Linked DNA regions of Arabidopsis thaliana. The protein of the gene in region 1 interacts with the protein of each later gene in a pairwise test. Each region holds a gene or a part of one and is shown in the gene's direction. Other genes may lie near its edges. The genes, in order: SWI3C, LBD10, LBD1 and ARR11.

What was found.
Region 2: the proteins of SWI3C (region 1) and LBD10 interact in a two-hybrid assay, tested with the Arabidopsis thaliana proteins (one large-scale study listed by BioGRID).
Region 3: the proteins of SWI3C (region 1) and LBD1 interact in a two-hybrid assay, tested with the Arabidopsis thaliana proteins (one large-scale study listed by BioGRID).
Region 4: the proteins of SWI3C (region 1) and ARR11 interact in a two-hybrid assay, tested with the Arabidopsis thaliana proteins (one large-scale study listed by BioGRID).

The regions. Positions count from the first base shown.
Region 1 is NC_003070.9:7,619,389-7,626,233, reverse strand, and holds SWI3C (SWITCH/sucrose nonfermenting 3C), read left to right. Parts: upstream 1-2,067; 5' UTR 2,068-2,255; coding exon 2,256-2,271; intron 2,272-2,409; coding exon 2,410-2,940; intron 2,941-3,466; coding exon 3,467-4,005; intron 4,006-4,161; coding exon 4,162-4,519; intron 4,520-4,611; coding exon 4,612-4,685; intron 4,686-4,880; coding exon 4,881-4,966; intron 4,967-5,061; coding exon 5,062-5,129; intron 5,130-5,230; coding exon 5,231-5,406; intron 5,407-5,502; coding exon 5,503-6,078; 3' UTR 6,079-6,233; downstream 6,234-6,845. Other genes in the region: OGG1 (8-oxoguanine-DNA glycosylase 1), read right to left, coding at 365-607, 724-934, 1,152-1,795; AT1G21695 (hydroxyproline-rich glycoprotein family protein), read right to left, coding at 6,449-6,845. UniProt on the Arabidopsis thaliana protein: Component of a multiprotein complex equivalent of the SWI/SNF complex, an ATP-dependent chromatin-remodeling complex, which is required for the positive and negative regulation of gene expression of a large number of genes.
Region 2 is NC_003071.7:10,059,308-10,063,827, reverse strand, and holds LBD10 (LOB domain-containing protein 10), read left to right. Parts: upstream 1-2,005; 5' UTR 2,006-2,094; exon of another isoform or gene 2,095-2,242; 5' UTR 2,243-2,295; intron 2,296-2,631; 5' UTR 2,632-2,650; coding exon 2,651-3,586; 3' UTR 3,587-3,763; downstream 3,764-4,520. Other genes in the region: homolog of Synechocystis YCF37, read left to right, coding at 18-521.
Region 3 is NC_003070.9:2,440,671-2,444,701, forward strand, and holds LBD1 (LOB domain-containing protein 1), read left to right. Parts: upstream 1-1,899; 5' UTR 1,900-1,953; coding exon 1,954-2,190; intron 2,191-2,625; coding exon 2,626-2,961; 3' UTR 2,962-3,076; downstream 3,077-4,031. Other genes in the region: AT1G07902 (uncharacterized protein), read left to right, coding at 3,248-3,340, 3,973-3,994, 4,009-4,031; AT1G07901 (uncharacterized protein), read right to left, coding at 3,301-3,453.
Region 4 is NC_003070.9:25,376,110-25,381,683, reverse strand, and holds ARR11 (response regulator 11), read left to right. Parts: upstream 1-2,466; 5' UTR 2,467-2,778; coding exon 2,779-2,887; exon of another isoform or gene 2,888-2,968; coding exon 2,969-3,121; exon of another isoform or gene 3,122-3,155; coding exon of another isoform or gene 3,156-3,195; coding exon 3,196-3,585; intron 3,586-3,689; coding exon 3,690-3,766; intron 3,767-3,853; coding exon 3,854-4,690; 3' UTR 4,691-5,005; downstream 5,006-5,574. UniProt on the Arabidopsis thaliana protein: Transcriptional activator that binds specifically to the DNA sequence 5'-[AG]GATT-3'. Functions as a response regulator involved in His-to-Asp phosphorelay signal transduction system.

The DNA.
Region 1 (6,845 bases):
GCCTAATTTAGGCCTCGCTTTATTGGGCTTCTTATAGAAATTTAATTTCGACGAAATTTAGTTTTGTTTTTTGACAAAAGAAATAGATAAAAGGAAAAAATTCTCATTTCAAATCAAGAGAATTGCAAAGGGAACAAACAATTAGAATTTAATTTGGAAGTTTGAATGTAAAGTTACAAGTACATATCAAGATTGGTTCCTTAGTAAACAATGATCATAACAAATAACTACGCTCATTTGCCAGGGAGCCAAATACTGCATCAGCTTCAGAATTTTCTTAGCTCTTCCAAGGTCAAGTTTCTGGACTTGACGCATCAAGAATGGGTTGTGAAAACGATTCCTCGTAGCTTAGGTAGACACATAGTCATGGCTTCAACGTATCACAGCTAGTTTCATTAACTTCTGCAGACTCATCCAGTTTGTTAATGGGCTGGGAAAACGATTGCAAGAGAGTTTTTTGTGCAGGTAACTCGGCAATGAAAAGCAATGTTTGAGCCCAACCAGCATATTCACCATATTTACTCACAAAGGCTTCTGCAACTCGGCCATGGAGTTTAGGTGTCAGTTTTGCACCAGCAAGGTCTGGCAGTAGATAATTTGTTGCGATCTGATCCATTATCCAAAACAGAACAAAAAAAAAGTTGCCCGAAGTCATCATCACCATTATGTAATTGGATCTCAATTAAGTAAGTACAATACATAGAAACCGATGGACTTTGTTACCTGCCAGACATGTGTGTCAACCGGAATAGCACTATGCTGATCAAGAGAAAACAGAGCTATGCAAGCTGCTACCTTCGGACCAACACCAGGTAATGTACACAGCGCAGCAACTGCCTCTTGGAGTTCGACTTTGCGCAGAGAAAGAAGCCATTCATTACCACCACCTGGCTTTGCTTGCAAAGCATTCACTGTACCTGTTATGTATTTGGCTCTGCTCACCACAAGATAAACCAGAATGAGAGTTTTCAAATGAGATCAGAACCAATCAGAGAAACGGCCACACAATGATTATCTAGCTTAGACCAAACATTAGCTTCAATTCTATGAATGTATAGCCACAGAGTAAATAAAAGTATAAGCTTCAAGCAAAGTTTTAGCCTAAATGTCTAATTCAACATAATGCAACCATTAGAGAGTGATGAAATCACCTGTAACCAAAACCAGCCTTTCTAAACTCTTCCTCAGAAACCCTAGATAATCGATCCAATGATGGGAACTGATGAAACTCAAATCCATCAATGTCACCCAAATGTAACCCTAAAGACGAAACAAAATCCACCATCTTCGTAATCCTCGCAATGTTATTGTTCGATGAGCACAAAAACTGTATCAAGCACTCGAGCGGATCCTGCCTCAACACACGAGCGCCACGGAGATGTCTCGCTAGCTCTCCGAAACGAGGATCTTTTTTCGAGAAATCAGACCATAGCTCAGCTAACGAGATCTCAGCATTGAGAAAATCGAGCAACGCAAGCTCCGCGGATTTAGGGCTTGTGCTACAATGGACGCAGTAGGAAACTGCGTCGTCTCCTGGACGTTGTCTAAGAGAGACTAAGTGAGGCCCAATCGTTCCGCTATACTGAATCGCTCCAGTTTTCTTCCACCGGAATGTTTGACCCGTCGGAAAAGTTAACGGCAACGTCAGCTCCGTGTGGGTTAGTTTTAACGGGAACCATTTAGGTGTTCCTGTTCTGTGTAGCTTCTGTTTGAGAATCGGTGTGACCGGCGGAGACAGTGGTGGTTTGACGGTGGAAGAGATCGACGGCTGAGATGTAGGTCGAGGTCTCTTCATCGCCGTTGCTCGTTAACGGAACCACCACACCAGTATTAATGCGCGACGGTCGACTAATGTATCAATTTAAACCGGTTTAACCAATTTGAACTTTAAGAACCGAACTAAATAATTGATTCGGTTTTTCTCATTCAAAATTGAAAAATAAAACCGAAGTAAAGTTGACTTTAACCGAAGTTAAACCAAAATTTGGATTGGTCAACGAAGCTTGAATTTCGAAATCAGAACCCTCTTGTTTGTCGAGAAGGTTAGGTCGTCGTGGAGAATGAATTAATATATAGAGATTAATGAAGGAAATGGTGAAAGAAATTGCGAGAAAAAGGTTTGGTGTTTAGCTCGAGAGCTGGAAATCAGAACGACTCGGAGGAGAGAAGACAAAGAAAGCAATTCTTTTTACTAAGGGTCTTGCTTCGATTCCACAGAACCCAAAACCTCTATTTCTCTATCTTCATCCACAAAAATGCCAGCTTCTGAAGGTAAATTGCTGTTTCACATCTTTATCTCTCTCAAAATCCAAATTTAAATTGGGATTTGACTTACCCACATAGATCGTAGTGATGGGTATTTCGAGAATTCGTGTGAATTGAATTACACTTTTTACAATTCTGTCGCAGATAGAAGAGGGAAATGGAAAAGGAAGAAGAGAGGGGGGTTATCGGCGGCGAGGAAACCGAAACAAGAGGAGGAAGATATGGAGGAAGAAGACGAAGAGAATAACAACAACAACAACGAAGAAATGGATGACGTTGAAAATGCCGATGAGCTTCAGCAAAACGGCGGCGCAACTCCCGATCCGGGACTTGGTATTGGCGAGGTAGTTGAAGATTCTGGTTCGCGCATCTCTGATTTCCCGGCAGTGGTTAAGCGTGTTGTGATCCGGCCACACGCGTCTGTAATGGCTGTTGTGGCGGCTGAGAGAGCTGGTTTGATAGGGGAGACTAGAGGGCAAGGTTCACTTCCAGCTCTGGAGAACATTTCGTTTGGGCAATTGCAAGCGTTATCTACTGTACCTGCTGATTCTCTTGATCTTGAGAGGAGTGATGGATCGTCTTCGGCTTATGTTATCTCTCCACCACCTATTATGGATGGAGAAGGAGTTGTTAAACGGTTTGGGGATCTGGTTCATGTCTTGCCTATGCATTCAGGTGTGTTTTTTCTTCCTCTTGATACGCGCATTTATGTTAGAGGTTAGGCTTTATGCAGCATCAGCTTTTGCTGGTTGGTAGTATTGTAGTATATATCTTGTGATTGGAATGAGAATTAGTCAAAACAGGTTTGTATGCCGGTATCTCCTTAACGTATAAGTTCTTATCTTCCTTTTGTCTAGTGCCTGGTTCTTAGTTTACATTAATCTGAACGCGACTCAATTTCATATCAGATGTTTCTCTATGTTCCCATGTTCTGTCTGATGGAAAGGAAGAGGTATTATAACTTTTGTACATGATAAATTAGAGTACCTGCTGGCTTGAAGTAGCCTTAGGTGTCTTATCTCAGAAGTACAACTTGAATAGACTATGCAAGTGATGTTCTTCTAATTCGTTTGGGTTTTGTTCCTGGAGTCCTATGGCTCAAATATATCGAGATTCTCCTCTTATTTTATTTTTATTTTCTGATATTTTTGTTCCCAATGCTCGAATTTATTCTTCTACTTTTGCTGTTACATTTGAGCAGATTGGTTTGCACCAAACACAGTAGATCGACTTGAAAGGCAAGTGGTGCCACAGTTTTTCTCTGGGAAATCGCCAAATCATACACCCGAAAGTTATATGGAATTCAGGAACGCCATTGTTTCCAAATATGTAGAGAACCCTGAAAAGACACTGACGATTTCTGATTGCCAAGGATTGGTAGATGGTGTTGACATTGAAGATTTTGCACGAGTTTTCCGTTTTCTTGATCACTGGGGAATAATCAATTACTGTGCCACTGCCCAGTCACATCCTGGCCCTTTGAGAGATGTATCGGATGTGAGGGAGGACACAAATGGCGAGGTCAATGTGCCGTCTGCTGCTTTAACATCTATTGATAGTTTGATCAAATTTGACAAGCCCAACTGTAGACACAAGGGGGGTGAAGTCTATTCATCCTTGCCAAGTTTGGATGGTGACAGCCCTGACTTGGACATCAGAATTCGTGAACACCTATGTGATAGTCATTGCAACCATTGTTCTCGACCGCTTCCAACTGTGTACTTCCAATCGCAAAAGAAGGTTCTTAGGCTGCTTCCCCTTACGTACTGTTCTTTGTGTATCATTATCTGATTCTTTTTTGCACCCAGTGATGTAATAGACTCCAAGCTTTATCTTGCTTACTGTCTCGGATACTGGACCGCTTCTAACTAAAGGATCTTCATCTCTACTTTACAGGGGGATATACTCTTATGCTGTGATTGTTTTCACCATGGAAGATTTGTTGTTGGACATTCTTGTCTTGACTTTGTAAGAGTGGATCCAATGAAATTTTATGGCGATCAAGATGGAGACAATTGGACTGATCAGGAAACTCTCTTGCTTCTTGAAGCTGTGGAACTCTACAATGAAAATTGGGTTCAAATTGCTGATCATGTTGGTTCCAAGTCAAAAGCTCAATGCATTCTTCATTTTCTTCGATTACCTGTGGAGGATGGTCTATTAGATAATGTTGAGGTTTCTGGTGTAACTAATACGGAAAACCCTACAAATGGATATGACCACAAAGGAACAGATTCAAATGGGGATTTACCTGGTGATTTTGTTTTATTCAATTTGTAGCAATGAATTACTTTCCATAGTTATTTCCTTTGACATGCCATACTAATTGTCCGCTTGCGTCTGCAGGATATTCCGAGCAAGGTTCTGACACTGAGATCAAGCTTCCATTTGTGAAGTCTCCGAATCCGGTTATGGCATTGGTTTGTGAACTTTTTTCCGATGCAGATTTCATATGCGCTTCTTATTATCCTTATGATCTCACCAGTTAGAGATATCTCTGATCCATGAATCGATTATATCTGAGAGCTCAATTGTATGCATATTTTGAGTGGAGAATGGTCCTGTATTGCACATAAGTTTGGAGATATGAGGATCCTGATACCAAAATATTTTAGGTTGCATTTTTGGCATCAGCTGTTGGACCTCGAGTTGCTGCGTCCTGTGCCCATGAATCCCTCTCGGTTTTATCTGAGGACGATAGGTTAGTGTATTATATAGTCTCTATCCAATATAAATTCTCTGTAGTGTGATTCAGTTTAATAATACTATGGACTATTCTGAAACTTCTTGATCTAGGATGAAATCTGAGGGAATGCAAGGGAAAGAAGCCAGCTTGCTTGATGGAGAAAATCAACAGCAAGATGGTAAGGAAGTTATTTGATTGTTCTCTTTACAGTGATTCTTTGCTCTTTTGTTTTAACCTAATCTGCGACACCAACATGCTTTAATTGTAAAAAAAACTCAGGAGCACACAAAACATCAAGCCAAAACGGAGCAGAAGCGCAGACTCCACTGCCACAGGATAAGGTTATGGCAGCATTTAGAGCCGGTCTATCAGCTGCAGCAACAAAAGCAAAATTGTTTGCTGATCATGAGGAACGCGAAATCCAGAGACTTTCTGCTAATATCGTTAATCACCAGGTAAAATAGCAGAACCAGTTGCTGATGAGAATTACTGTAGGTAGTTGATTTATTTTGTTGTATAGTGTTTATTGCTGATCTGAGTAAAAACCGCAGCTGAAGAGGATGGAGCTGAAATTAAAGCAGTTCGCAGAAATTGAAACACTGTTGATGAAAGAATGCGAACAAGTAGAGAAAACCCGTCAGAGATTTTCTGCAGAACGGGCTCGTATGCTCTCAGCAAGATTTGGATCTCCTGGAGGAATCTCTCCACAGACTAATAATCTCCAAGGCATGTCTCTATCCACAGGTGGTAACAACATCAATTCTCTCATGCATCAGCAACATCAGCAACAACAAGCTTCCGCAACTTCTCAACCAAGCATAATCCCAGGATTCAGCAACAACCCGCAAGTTCAAGCACAGATGCATTTCATGGCACGACAACAACAACAACAACAACAACAACAACAACAACAACAGCAAGCTTTCTCGTTTGGCCCGAGATTACCTCTCAATGCAATACAGACCAATGCAGGATCAACAGCTTCACCAAACGTCATGTTTGGCAACAACCAACTAAATAACCCTGCAGCAGCTGGAGCAGCATCGATCAACCAGCCTTCGTTTAGTCACCCGATGGTTAGGTCTTCCACAGGTTCAGGCTCAGGGTCCGGCTTAGGCTTAAACTAAGATCCATCTTTCTCTAGCTTATTTAGCTTATCAGTATCCATATTTATTTCACCTTGTTATTTTTAAAGATAAGTTATTTGGCTTTGAGACCGTAGTCTTGTTCCAAGTTAGTGTCTTGTAGTATCAAACCATCATCATCATCATTGTGAATTAAAACAGTCACCAATCTTAATGTCTCTCTTTCCCACAACCATTTCTCTACTCTTCAAACATTAGGGGTCTTTTAACTCGATTCATTTTGACGATAATATATAGACAATTTCATTACAAATCTACATGTAACATATTCGTTCTTGTCGCAATGAAAAACTCAAAATCATTTTTATTTGATTAATCTCTAAGATGTTTTTTTTTTTTTAAGCCTAACCATTTAACCAAGGCGGGAACGAGCTATCATTAACATGGTTTTTTTCTCATAAGAGCTTAAATCCGAATCAGTCCGTTTTAGCGGCGAACCACGGCGAGAAGAGAAGGACGATTTCGGCGAACTCCACCTCGAAGATACCGGCGATCCCTGGCTAGAATCTTCTTCCGACGGAGAAAGCGTTGTTCCCGATTCATAGAAATTGTCAGACTCCGATGTTGTTGATGATGGTTCCTGCTGACCGGTCTTTTTTAAATCGCCGCTCTTACTCTTTTTCAACCCAAATAATGACTTGGGAAAAAAACACCGAGGCAATGAGCCACCGGCACGAGGAGAAGAAGATCGGAAATATGGAGTCGGAGATGCTGAACAGTTGGAGTCGGAATCTGAAGGCGATTTCAGC
Region 2 (4,520 bases), on another chromosome or scaffold:
GTGAGATCATCTAAAAAATGGCTTCGACTGTTTCGCTTTCTTTACTCAGCGGCGGCAGTGGAGCTCTTCAGGCGCGTTGCGCAAGAACCGCGCATGTTAGCCCACGAGCGGCGCATTCTAACAAACCCGCGCTTTCTTCGTTCTCGCTGACCGGCGCCTCTCGCAGGAATCTGTTATTTTCGTTGACGGCAGCGACGGTAGTGACGGGACTTCAGCCTGCATCAATGGCGGAGAATATTCCGTTATTTGGTATAAGAAAGAAACTGAAGAAAGCAGAAGAAGAAGCGGTGGAGATCGTGAAAGAAGGCTTTGAGACGGCGGAGAAAGGCGTTGATGCGGCGGAGAAAGGATTAGAAGCGGCGGAGAGAGGTGTAGAGACGGCAGAGAAGGAAATCGTGACGGCGGTTAGCTTTAATGGATTGACACAAGCTGGAGCCGTCGTGGCGGCTGAGTTCGTCGGAGTTCTTGTCGCTACGTCAGTAGTGAATGGGATTTTAGGACCAGAAGCCCAGAAATCTTAGGAATAACCTAATGCTATGTGTACTTTTGTGTTGGAGTTAAAGAAATATTTGTCTAAATTTTTGCTGTTAATTATGTTTTGTAATATCATAAACCATATACCTAGAGATGAAGAAGATCAGAATTATGTGGTCTATTTTGCTTCGGTTTTGATTTTTATCGGAAATAAGTAAATTGTGTGGCTCTTATAGCTTATGGCTTATAGCATTTTCAAAGCACATTTCATTTTTAAGTTTACCAAGCCTCAAGTTTAAAGTTGAATAATATTATTAACATCAAAACAATTTTTATTTTGCATTTAAAGTCTTGATCATAATGTCTTAAAATCACAAAACTTATATAAAACTATAAAACATATATTATAATATATAATTATAATCATAAGTTACAAGTATCAATGTATTAAAAAAATAAATAGTATCAATACTAAATAAGATTTTTTTTAGTTTTCTTAAAGATATTTATCAACCATTCAAGTTAAATTCAAGACATAATATTCTTGTGTTATTATCAACTAAATCTTGACTCTTAATATTGTATCAAGTTTTGTAAATCAATAAAGTATTTAGAGAATTTAAAGTAAATGTTCTTGATTTTATTTCATCAAGTTTAAATCAATGAAAAGTAGTTAGGAACGTTGATTTATCTTCTTTACTCTTTCAATTTTATACTTTTATAATGCTATTATTGGAGGCAAAAAATAGAGAGGAAGAATAAGCTATTCTCTAGTATCTATATGAACTCTTCATGTAAATTACTAAAGAATATTAGTTACAAGAATGAAATATCTATAACCCGTTCAAGTTAAATTTTCTATGTTTCAGTTGTCAAACTTCTGCATTATCAGGTTGTACCTTCACTGAATACATTATATTGTAGAAGTTTAAATCAATGAAATATTTACAGACTCTAATATTTTTTATATTAAAACTCTAATACACTTTTGTTATCATTAATTAATGTTTTACTAATTACATTGTATCATATTGAATCAATGATGTATTAGAGACAGTAAAAATACTATTCGTAACTAGTAATGAATTATACTTTTCAAATGATCCTTTTATATAAATTTCACAAATTTTAAATGCTAATTTCTCATTCTTTATTTGAAGAGTTCTTGTAAAAAATGCTAAAGAATGGGGTATATTATTTTTTTAGATTCTAAATTTGAAAGTTAAAAATTCAAGACCTAGTAAATCAGTTAAAAATATAAAAGAAATATCTAAAAATAACTCACTTTTTCTCCATTGTAAACAAATTTGATTTTCTTTTCCTATGAAATTTGAATTAGTCTTCTACTAATTATGCAGCTTAAAATATCATTGCTAACTTATCAAATGATACTTCAAATTTTTTATCAGTCACAAAAAAAAAAACAATTTGCATAAGCGGTTTAGATTTAAATTTGACCACACGTGTGTAACTTTGTAACACGATGTCTCTATCTTTCTCTCTTTCTTGTTGATGTGTTTTAAGGTTTTCTAAATCTCATTTTTGTCTCCTTAAAATTTTCTCAGAAACATTTCCGTCATTTGTTCCTTAGTTTTGTAATCAATCTTCACGATTCCTCAGGCACTGTACTTGGCAAATCTCTGTCTTTTTTTCTCCTTCATTTTCTCTCACTCTCTCCCAAAAATCCAGTAATTCTATATTATTTTAGGTGATCATTCTGATTTCAATTTTTTTGGTTGAATTTTTCTAAATAGTAATGTTATTTCAGGTACCATCCTCCAAGGTCATAAGAGAACAGGATCGGTGTTCTCGAACGAGCGGGTGCGATTTCTTGATTCTTTAATTTTATTTGATCACATTTCTTAATTCTCTCATATATATAGATTGATTGATTTGGTTGAAAATTGATTTAATTTCATAACTATGTTTTCTTTTTCATAATTAAATTTTCATAGTTCTGTTTCTTTTTTGTTGTTGAGAAAGTTGATCTAATGTGGTTGATTCAAAGGGTGATGTAAATGTTCTTGCCTGGTTTTTGGTTTCTTGTGTTGAAAGCTAAAACGTATATGATTTTGTGTTTCTTGTGCTTCAAGATATTTCTTACATGTTATTTCCCTTGTTCTCTTTGTCTTAATTCCATTCTTAAATTTTTGATAGTGTTGTGTCTTAAGTGGGGATGGCTTCAACACCTTGTGCAGCATGTAAGCTCTTGAGGCGTAAATGCACTCAAGAATGTGTGTTTGCGCCGTATTTTCCACCAACTAATCCTCAAAAGTTTATCTTTGTTCACCGAGTTTTTGGAGCAAGCAATGTAACCAAGATCCTCAACGATCTTCCACCTGATCAACGCGAAGACACTGTTAATTCCCTCTTTTATGAAGCGGAAGCGCGTATCCGTGACCCAATCTATGGATGTGTTGGTCTCATTTCTTTTTTACAACAATACCTCAAGAAAATTCAACAAGATCTTCTCACTGCTAAAGAAGAGCTTGTTGGTTACTTGGGACCCGATGCTGTGATTCCGCCGCCTTATCTTCCTCCTATAGGTAACAATCCTCCTCCCAATTTCATGATGTCTATGGAAGGAATGCCACCAGGAGTGATCCCTCAAGGAGAACCTTTGATGATACGCGAACCAAACATGTCTCAGCAACATCATCATCAACAACCGCAAGATGAGCAGTTGCAATTCATAGCTTCTGATGCACAGAGAATGGCTGCAATGATGTTGGAGAGAGGAGATCAACAAGGGATGTTCAATGGTTACGGAATAGACAACAATGGTTCGGTTACAGCCACGGGTTTTAACCAAATGGATGTGAATGATCAAGGTGCTGGTGGTTCGTTGTCTGGACCATCTCTTGCTTTAGGAAGCTTTGGTGATGCTTATCAGATGGGTCAAGAGACAGAGCATGGTCATATCAACCATGATCAGCTTCAGACACAGCTTATGCTTCAGCCTCCATTACAAGAAGGTCAAGAACAAACAGAGGAAGGACAGTTCTTGATGCAACCAATGGGACAAGAGAATCTTCATGACGAAGAGGAGGAGGAAGAGCTTGAGCCACCGGTTAAATGGAGGATGTCTGAGAACAAGGAAGCTAGTTTTTAAGACCTAAATGCATTTAGGAGAACAAAAAAAAATTCCTATTTTCTTGGATAGTTTACTTAACTCTTGAGGATCTATTTGGTTTTTTTTTTTAATAATCAAATGGTATTATTCATTCTCGCTATTTGCATCTACAAATTAAGCAATCTGAATTCGCATCAATTGTCTATAATGCCACAGAATCGACTCGGATTTTTGCTATGGTTGAGAAGTTTTCGAGCTATTTTCAGAGAATGGATTGTGTATTATTTTTGAAGCCAACCAAAGCAAGCAAATGATATGATCATACAACCTCAGCATGAAACCTAATGTACTCTGATTGGGATAGACTTTACTTGTAGTCATGAGGGACATGCCGTAATGAACCACTTGTTAATTATTTTTCTTTTTTCAAAAATATTTTCAACAATGGTAAGATTAAAAGAGTTTATGAAGGAATTACCGATTGAGCAGAGCAGAGATATTATCCATGCATTCTGTTTTTATCATTTTGCGATTTTGTCGTTACACACTAATCAAAATTTTCAATTCTGCCACGCAACTTATAATTGTGTCTCTTGAAAACGTTAAATACAGTATTGGAGAAAGGAGAAAAACGTTTAATCATCGTATCGGAAACAAATTAGTTTTGAAGTTAAGAATAAAAGCGTACAGTAAAATACGGGCTATTTAACGTTTACCTAAAGTAAATGTATACATATCATATTTGTAGCTTAGTTAACATCAAATCAGAGTGGCGCAGCGGAAGCGTGGTGGGCCCATAACCCACAGGTCCCAGGATCGAAACCTGGCTCTGATAAAATGTTTCGTGTTTTTTTGTTTTGTTTTTTTATCAGTTTAAGGGCCGAGCTCGGCCCAACAACAAAATATACTGGGTCTTCAATTATGAGACGGACCCTAATATCTTCGCCTGCCCAACAACAGAATTACATACTTG
Region 3 (4,031 bases), 5.2 Mb from region 1:
TACATAGTTACTTAGATAACTTTGAAAGTATCCAGAAATCAGAAATGTGGATTTTTTTTTGTTCTTTTTTTCTACATCGTCGGATAAATTCTGAATTTAAGAACTGGGTAATTTCAGACTCGTTGAAATCAAAGTCAATGAGTCAAATATATCATTTATTCGGTACGCTTAGGTTACATCATCAGATTAAATTTGAGCAGATGGTTGTAATCAATAATCCCTTGCCCGTGGCTTGGTATACGTACATTTGGCAACCTTTATGTATTTCCCCTTTCCGGAGGGAATCGCTTACAAATTCTTCGATCGATATGATTGATTCTCAAAGACCAAATATTGATTTGTTGAATTTGTAAAAATAAAATTGTATTGACCGATGTGTTATTAACTTGTATTTTGAAACAAACAAAACAAAAATAACGCAAGAAATGTGTTGCATGGCACAATTTACTTTTTTTTTTTCGCTAGTGAATGCTTTTGTGCTTACTATATGTATAAATTTACATTTTAGTGAATGGTAGCATAATTTTCAATGCACACGTAACGACCCCAATTTTCTTGTCTCCATTCCAACATTAGTGGAATCTTATCACTGATTTGATAGAATTTAACTGCACTAGAGTTATTTGAAAAAGGCCCAAGAATATGATTGGAAGAAAAGGTATTGATGATTTGATCTGAGGATAATCATGACGATACTGTTAGACGTACATTATTTATTGAGATAAATCTGACTAACAAACAATCTCCCAGTGTACACGATGCAAAAGACAATCTTTGACCGATTAAATCAATAAGACTAAATGATGATGAATTGATGATACTAGAAAGAAGAAAATCTTATAAGCCTTAAGTCATTTTCAATAAGGTGTTGAAGATTTAGTTGAGAGTATACGTATAGTAGAAAGAGAGCAATCTGTCGAAGGTGGACGCAAGAGCTTGCACACCCAATAACTCGTTTAGCAATCTAACTGGTTACGTGTCTTCCCTCTATTTGATTCCGAATTTTTCTTCTTAATGTTGGTACGTGAAGACGACTCTCTTATTGAATAAATGATGCTTTGGGACCGCTCGGAATTCTATTTCTTCTAAATGACGACTCTTAACGTAGTTTTGCATTTTCTCCATGCATATATATACGTGGAAAATGGTTAATTTAATTTGGAAAAAATGTGTATGTATAAGTCGTTCAAATTAAACAGAAAAGTCTCATACAATAGATATAACTAATGTATAAAAATGAGTCCCAAGAATAATGGTTAATAAAAACAAAATACGGTTCAGCAAAAATTAGGCAACCTAAAATAAATCACTTGGCCTTTTGTGTTAATTTCTCTATCAGTACTTCAGTAGAATTTACAATTAAGTAAGCACTGAATAAAAATAATAATCAAACTTCACTAGAAGAGAAGTACTCTAGAATTGAATATCTAGGTATTCCAAAGACCTATCGAACCACCTAGCGTAATACACATTTCAATTGAGGTTTTTAACTATGGTTTCTCCCAAATTATAGTATTAATCTTCAATTCTTCATAATCAGAAAGACTATTAAAGAATGTAAGACGAAGAGTAGAATACCATTGGACTAACTAATGATTTTTTAGAGACTAATATAATTGAAACTATACGTAAGGAGAAAAACAAGACAAGAAGAATTTTTTGTTTCTTAAGAAGAAAATTAATTGTGCCAAAGTCAAGCAAACCGTTGAAACATGAAAGCGTAGAGAAATTTAGTAGCCACCGTTACGTGGAAATATGTTTCAACTTTCAATTAGCAAAAAAGCCACGTCATAATTCGAGCTTGTGATGTCAGGGTGGTCACCTCCTTCCCTACATCATTTTGTGTGTCTCCCCTATATATACACTTCCCCACCAAAAAGCACTTCACCTCTCAAAGACTCTACTTACACATTTCTCATCTTCCTCCCCATAATTCACAGTTTTTGCGTTGGTATGGAGAGTAAAAGTGACGCTTCTGTCGCCACCACTCCAATCATATCTTCTTCCTCTTCTCCTCCACCATCACTTTCACCGCGGGTAGTGCTTAGTCCATGTGCTGCTTGCAAAATCTTGAGGCGACGTTGTGCAGAGAGATGCGTTTTGGCACCGTACTTCCCTCCAACGGATCCGGCCAAGTTCACTATTGCACACCGCGTCTTTGGAGCCAGCAACATCATTAAGTTCTTGCAGGTACCTAAATTATCTATATATCTATTGGTGTAATAACTATAAGCTCTTTAGTTCTTAGAAAGAATTACATTAAGAAAGACCCGATTTTATATTAATGATATAGATGGGAATGATTTTCTTGTTCTTATTAGGAAGATACATATATTGAAATGGTTGTTTCGGAAAATGGTTTCATAGGTCATGTGAAAATTGGACCTTACGTAGTTATTTGTCATAAGACTAATGTCAATAATTTCTTCTCACAAAAGCCGCACCACATAACCAAAAAAAAAGTGAAAGTATTGCATATAGTGTCATTGTCAACGTTTTCCTTATCATGCACCTTTCACAAAGTCTTGTAGAAAAATGGTATTTACTCGAATTGGTCAATTAAATACAAAAAAATCCTTACCTTTATGAACGAACACATGATTGATTATTTATCTATATTTTCAGGAACTTCCAGAATCACAAAGAACTGATGCGGTCAACAGTATGGTGTATGAAGCCGAAGCTAGAATAAGAGATCCAGTGTATGGATGTGCAGGTGCCATATACCATTTACAAAGACAAGTGAGTGAACTCCAAGCACAACTTGCAAAAGCTCAAGTGGAGATGGTGAATATGCAATTTCAAAGATCAAATTTACTAGAGCTGATTTATAACATGGACCAACAACAGAAACAAGAACAAGATAATATGTCCTTTGAGAGCAATGATTTGGGATTCCTTGAAGACAAGTCCAACACCAACTCATCAATGTTGTGGTGGGATCCTCTTTGGACATGTTGATCATTACTAAGATTTTGACTACTTCGCTTTAAGGCCCTCTCTAGAACTTTACTCAGGGTTAGTTAGCATACACAAATGTAACATTGTACGGTGAATAAAGAAAAGTAGAGGCGGCTTTTTTAAATTGTTTTTTTGACCGGGTTTTCAATGTTTTTTCCTGCGGTTTTTAGACACAAACCGGAAAGTATACCGGATCTAAACAACCGCAGAGCGGAAAAAAAAAATCTAAAACTAAACGACGTCGTTCGGCTCTTTATCTTGTCACCCTCCTCAGGCGACGGCGACGATGAACCTCCGTTCCAAATCTTCCCGTATCTTTTATGAAACGCGACCGACTCTTCAAGGCCCAAAGAAAAAGAGAATAGTCGGCGGGATAGGGGTATGTTTGTAATTTGGCAAACGAATCCCCATCATAGCTTTATTCCTTACTTCATTCACCCTAGCCGCTTTACTCTCTTGCGTTATCTCCGAGGTAAGCTTTTTCATCACCATCTACGATCTGCCTCTTTCTCTTCTGCTGATCTGTGTTGAATCTGTTTCGATACTTCTCGTTTGTTGTTGTTATTTCTTGGATTCGATTCTCTTTGTTTATAGATCGTTTGGAATTTCTGATCGGTGGTGTAAAGTTTTATCGATTTAGGAGAACAAAGTTTTACAGTGCAATCGTATTGTTTTTTTTCTTCATGCCAGCTGATGATAAACTATAGGATCGATCTGGTTCTGAGATTTTTGTACTGTTCAGTGGATTGTTGATTATATCTTTTGATGTATGTGATATTAATTATCGATTTGATTGGGTAATCCAAGTTGTGGAAACTCTAGGATTGTTTGCTGTATATCTCCTCAATTGCTGATTTGTTTGAATTTAGCTCGCTTAGCTCAGATGATAGGGCACCACAATTTTTGTGGTAGAAATCGGCTTGACTCTCTTTTTCTGCCAACAAAAACAAAAAATAGTCTGAGTCAAACCATTGTAGCAGTACCTAAAATCTCGTTTGTGAACCGTTGTAGCACTACCCAAGTCACCGGAAAGGTAAAACAATGAAGCCGTGGGATTAAACCTTCACAGA
Region 4 (5,574 bases), about 18 Mb from region 1:
TGAAATTAACGAATTTGCATTTGAAACATATATAGATCGATCCATTGATAAGCTTTAATGATATGTAGAACACATTCTCTAATTCTATGAGATTTGTAATGAAGTGATAACCCATCTTTACGCAAAACACATTGCCGTAACGTCGACAACAAATGAAGAATGGCTTTGTTAAGGTGAGTTAAAAATAATGTTGGCGCATCATATGTTTCTTTAACATTAATAGACAAAAATAAGTAACTCAAGTTACGTTTTGATGAAAGGAAATAAAGTCGTAAGCATGCATCTCTTTGACGATAGATGTTGTGTTGCATGATACCAAACTCAAACATATTGCGACCACAACTCTGAAAAAAAACATTAACTCACTCAAAATTAAAGCAGAATAATTTTTTTGTTTCTTCTCTTTTTTAGATAAAGAGAGACATTTTAATTTTTATGTTAGTCGGAAGATTCCGATTCAAGGAAATTTATATTTACTTTTTTCGACCTATTTTGAAAACAATTTGTACAATCAAAAAGATGTTAGAAAAGTATGCGTAACATTTTTTGTTTTTTTTGGTAAAAAATCAGGGCCGGCTCAAACTTTTTGAAGACCTTGTGCTGATTTATAAAAACTGGCTTTAGTTAATATTGGTTTTTAATTTCTAAAATTTTTGGACCCTAAAACCTTAAAGAAAATTGAAATTTTTTTTGAGGACCCTGTGCTTTTGCTCCTGTAGCACTCCCCTAGAGCCGGCACTGTAAAAAATATACGTAAGATTTTGTGCAATATTCGCAGTTTTTAATCACTGAATTACCATAAATTTGTTAGACATTTTTACATGTTTCTTACAGTATATTAGATAGACTTTGATTCTCATTCTACATCTCAATAATATATAATATATGATATGAAAGTTGGACAGTAATGAAATAGTAATCATGAAAGTGAGACTAGCTATTTAAATGCAGGTCACATGCAAACCTCGTCCCTGATCCCATCAACAGAAACATGGCCAGTGTACTGTGCAAATCCACAAACTCCCAAACAACGACACTGTTTCTAAATCTATAATGCGTTATTCTTTTTTATCATGGCCAAAAAGTTTGTGCAATTAGTTAGCTGTCTTGTACGTATATAATAATAGAAATTAATGAGGAAGTATATATGTTGTGTGTTTTGTCAAGTCTCTACGGGCCACGTCCTTATCCATAAAAAAGCTTTGTGCATGACAAGCTGTGTACCATTTTCCTTTATTCTTTTGTCTTTCTACTTATTTTCTTTCAATAGAATATAAAGGTCAAAACATTTGAAGTCTTTTATAGTCAAAGATCAAACATTGAAAGTCTTTCAGAGTCAAAGATCAAACATTTTAAGCCTTAATTAAGGTTAAACATTACATCGACTTGTTAAGGATTTGATGATTTACGAGCATTATTAAACCGAGTCGAGAAACCTCACTAGTTAAAGAGTTTATTTTGTGTTAGACGTGACGTACATGCTGCATGCATATATGTAATTTAAGTTGTTTGCGGCGAGAAGCTGATTTTTTAAAAATTTTGAGACATAATGTTTTAACTTTTAAGCTTTCTCAAACACATTATGTTCTTGATGTATGAACGATAGTTTTTTAAATCTAATTTAACATTAGGTTATCAGACACACTAATATACATGTAAAACTTTGCATTATATAGGAGCCGTGACTACCCTATGGCAAAAAGGCAAATGCCTAAAGCCAAAAAAAAAGTTTAAATTAAAGGCCAAATTTTTATAAAATAATAAGCTTATCAATTTTGTTATTTTGATAACAAATAATTGTTAAAATGAAACTTTTTTCGTGAAAATTATATTCTTAACTATACCTTTATCTATAGACCATTTTCTTATCTTGAAAACACATCATTTAGTAATATATTTTTTTTGGTAAGAATCATTTAGTAATACATCATAATTAGTAAATATAAATATTTAAAACAAATAACATTATTAGAAAAACATATAAAAACAAAAAGAATAACGTATTATTGATTTTTTTACATTGTAAGTTTTTGATACTAATATTTTTTCCGATTCAGTATTATGATTATTTTTAAAAACTATGATGATAGCCACATTTTATAAACTTGTCCTAGCCCTGCACACATCTAAGCAAGACACTGCATTATATATAGAGTTGCTTGTGTGTGTTTTGTCAATATTTTTACATGATAAAATGATGATGCACTCTGAATACGATCCCATAAATATAGAAGTTTAAATCTAAATACGATCACCATATTTACGTATAAAATACCAAAGAGTGTAGAAGATAATTATTTTAGTTTTATAGAATAACTATAAAAAGGTGATATAATCCACAATATTATCATGTCAATATCTTAAGAACAATTTGAAAAGCTAAATTATTGGAAGAATATGGGATTATGGAGCAGTGAGAGACGTCAACTTACAAATTGAGAGAGAAAAGAGTTTCAACAACTTTTTTTTGGCAGTGAACTTAGACCGAACTAAATTCCTTCTTCAAAAGTAATCCACAAATAAATTAATATTTTATAGCCTCGTTTTCAAATTAAAAACAGAGAGAAATTTGGAAATTCCAGTACGACGGGAGATAAAACCTAACATACGCCATGGTGACCGTTATCTAAACTACGCCAAAATATTTGAAGTGTCGTCGTTTCATAATAAAACGCAAACAAAAACCCACTCCCACTTTCTCCTTTCCAAAAAAAGAACTCTCGCCACTTTCTCTGCTCTTTTTCTTTCTCTCTCTCTTTCTTGTTTTCGCCGGCGATCATGGAGAAAAGCGGCTTCTCTCCCGTCGGTCTAAGGGTTCTTGTCGTAGACGATGATCCAACTTGGCTCAAGATTCTCGAGAAAATGCTCAAGAAGTGTTCTTACGAAGGTCTCTTTCTTCTTCTTCTATCTTATGTTTTCCCCAACAGTTGGATTTACTAAAATATCTCCTTACTTTCCTATGTTGCAGTAACGACCTGTGGATTAGCTAGAGAGGCTTTGAGGTTGCTGAGGGAGCGTAAAGATGGATATGATATCGTGATCAGCGATGTGAACATGCCTGACATGGATGGTTTCAAGCTTCTTGAGCATGTTGGTCTTGAATTAGACCTCCCTGTAATAAGTGAGAAGAAAGATCTTGACTTGTTGTGTAATAAATGAAAAAGGTTATTGATTTTTGTGTGTTTTGCGTTGTAGTGATGTCGGTGGACGGCGAAACAAGCCGAGTGATGAAGGGAGTGCAACACGGAGCTTGTGATTACCTCTTGAAGCCGATAAGAATGAAGGAGTTAAAGATTATATGGCAACATGTTCTGAGAAAGAAGCTTCAAGAAGTGAGAGATATCGAAGGCTGTGGATACGAAGGAGGAGCGGATTGGATCACTCGATACGATGAAGCACATTTTCTTGGAGGTGGTGAAGATGTTTCTTTTGGGAAAAAGAGAAAAGACTTTGACTTTGAGAAGAAGCTTCTTCAAGATGAGAGTGATCCATCATCTTCTTCTTCCAAGAAAGCTAGAGTTGTTTGGTCTTTTGAGCTTCATCATAAGTTTGTCAACGCCGTTAACCAAATCGGATGCGATCACAGTAAGTACGTTGGCGACTTTGGTTTCTTATCATGTCCCCTTGCCTCCCTTTATTATCATGTCTTCATAGAGCCGTGAAATTTTTTCCGGTCTCTTGTTTGGCAGAAGCTGGTCCCAAGAAGATATTGGATCTCATGAATGTTCCATGGCTCACTAGAGAAAATGTTGCAAGCCACCTTCAGGTAAAAACTTTACCTTGTCATCATCATTATTCAGAACAAGTGTTAGATTAAGCTTTTCGTCACTTTTTTTTTGTTCTGTTTTTGTAGAAATATAGACTTTACCTGAGCAGATTAGAGAAAGGAAAGGAGCTCAAGTGTTATTCAGGTGGCGTGAAGAATGCGGATTCATCTCCAAAAGATGTCGAAGTGAATTCAGGCTACCAAAGCCCTGGGAGGAGCAGCTATGTATTCTCTGGAGGAAATTCTCTGATCCAAAAAGCAACAGAGATTGATCCAAAGCCACTTGCTTCAGCTTCTTTGTCTGACCTCAACACCGATGTGATCATGCCTCCGAAAACAAAAAAGACGCGTATAGGATTTGATCCTCCCATTTCCTCCTCTGCGTTTGACTCTCTGCTTCCTTGGAATGATGTTCCAGAGGTCCTTGAATCGAAGCCGGTTCTGTATGAGAATAGCTTTCTCCAGCAACAACCATTGCCAAGTCAAAGTTCCTATGTTGCAAATTCTGCACCATCTCTCATGGAGGAGGAAATGAAGCCTCCTTATGAGACACCAGCAGGAGGCAGTAGTGTGAATGCAGATGAGTTTCTCATGCCACAAGACAAGATCCCTACTGTAACCCTTCAAGATTTGGATCCCTCTGCCATGAAGCTGCAGGAGTTCAACACAGAGGCGATTCTGAGAAGCTTGAACTGGGAACTTCCAGAATCACATCATTCTGTTTCTTTAGACACTGACTTAGACTTGACTTGGCTTCAAGGCGAGCGTTTTCTTGCAAACACCGGACTCCAGTTTCAAGATTACAGTAGTAGCCCATCACTCCTATCTGAGCTCCCAGCCCACCTTAATTGGTATGGAAATGAGCGGCTGCCTGACCCTGACGAGTATTCCTTCATGGTAGACCAAGGTTTATTCATATCTTAACCTTGTTCCAATAACTTCTTTTCGTATATTGGTTGGTGTAATGCAGAAAGATTTTGTGGGTATACCTGAAAATAATCTTGCTTTCCCAAGAACCTTCCATGATCGGATGCATTGTACAATAATCCACGAGTGTCGTAGGCTAATTACACCAAACAGGTTGATGACAGTGATAAGGCCACATGTTTCACACCGTCGCTTAAGATCTTCACTGTCACCTGGAAGGAAATTAGTTTGCATGTCATATCATGAAAAAAAGATCTCTACTACACATTGAATCTAATTGCAAAACTTAGGAATTTTACCTCCTTACTCCAACACATGTGATGTTCTTTTATCTGTTGAGAATCTGTCCCATAACCTTATCATCAAATAATGTGAGAGTTCACAATCTTAGAGCAGATATACAAATGAGTGTTACGGGAAACGTTTTACATCGAAGATATCTAACAGTTGCCACATGTGATGTTCTTTTATCTGTTGAGAATCTGTCCCATAACCTTATCATCAAATAATGTGAGAGTTCACAATCTTAGAGCAGATATACAAATGAGTGTTACGGGAAACGTTTTACATCGAAGATATCTAACAGTTGCCACTTGCCACCAGATCCAAGATGGGAAACTTCAGAGTTTTGAACTATCTAACATCTTTCTATGCAGGCAATGGATTAGTTACCTGACAAAGCTCTAATTTATTCATAACAAACAATTTATGAAGCTACACACACCATATTGCAATGTTCGGACAGTCAGATGTCGCCAATACTGCGCAGAACTAGATTTTTTACCTACTGGAGCAATCAGGGAGATTCTACTAAATCTCTGCAAATGGTCTTGCTCTCACCTTCACGAAGCTTTTGCATATCTTGTTCACAGTTCTAGTTA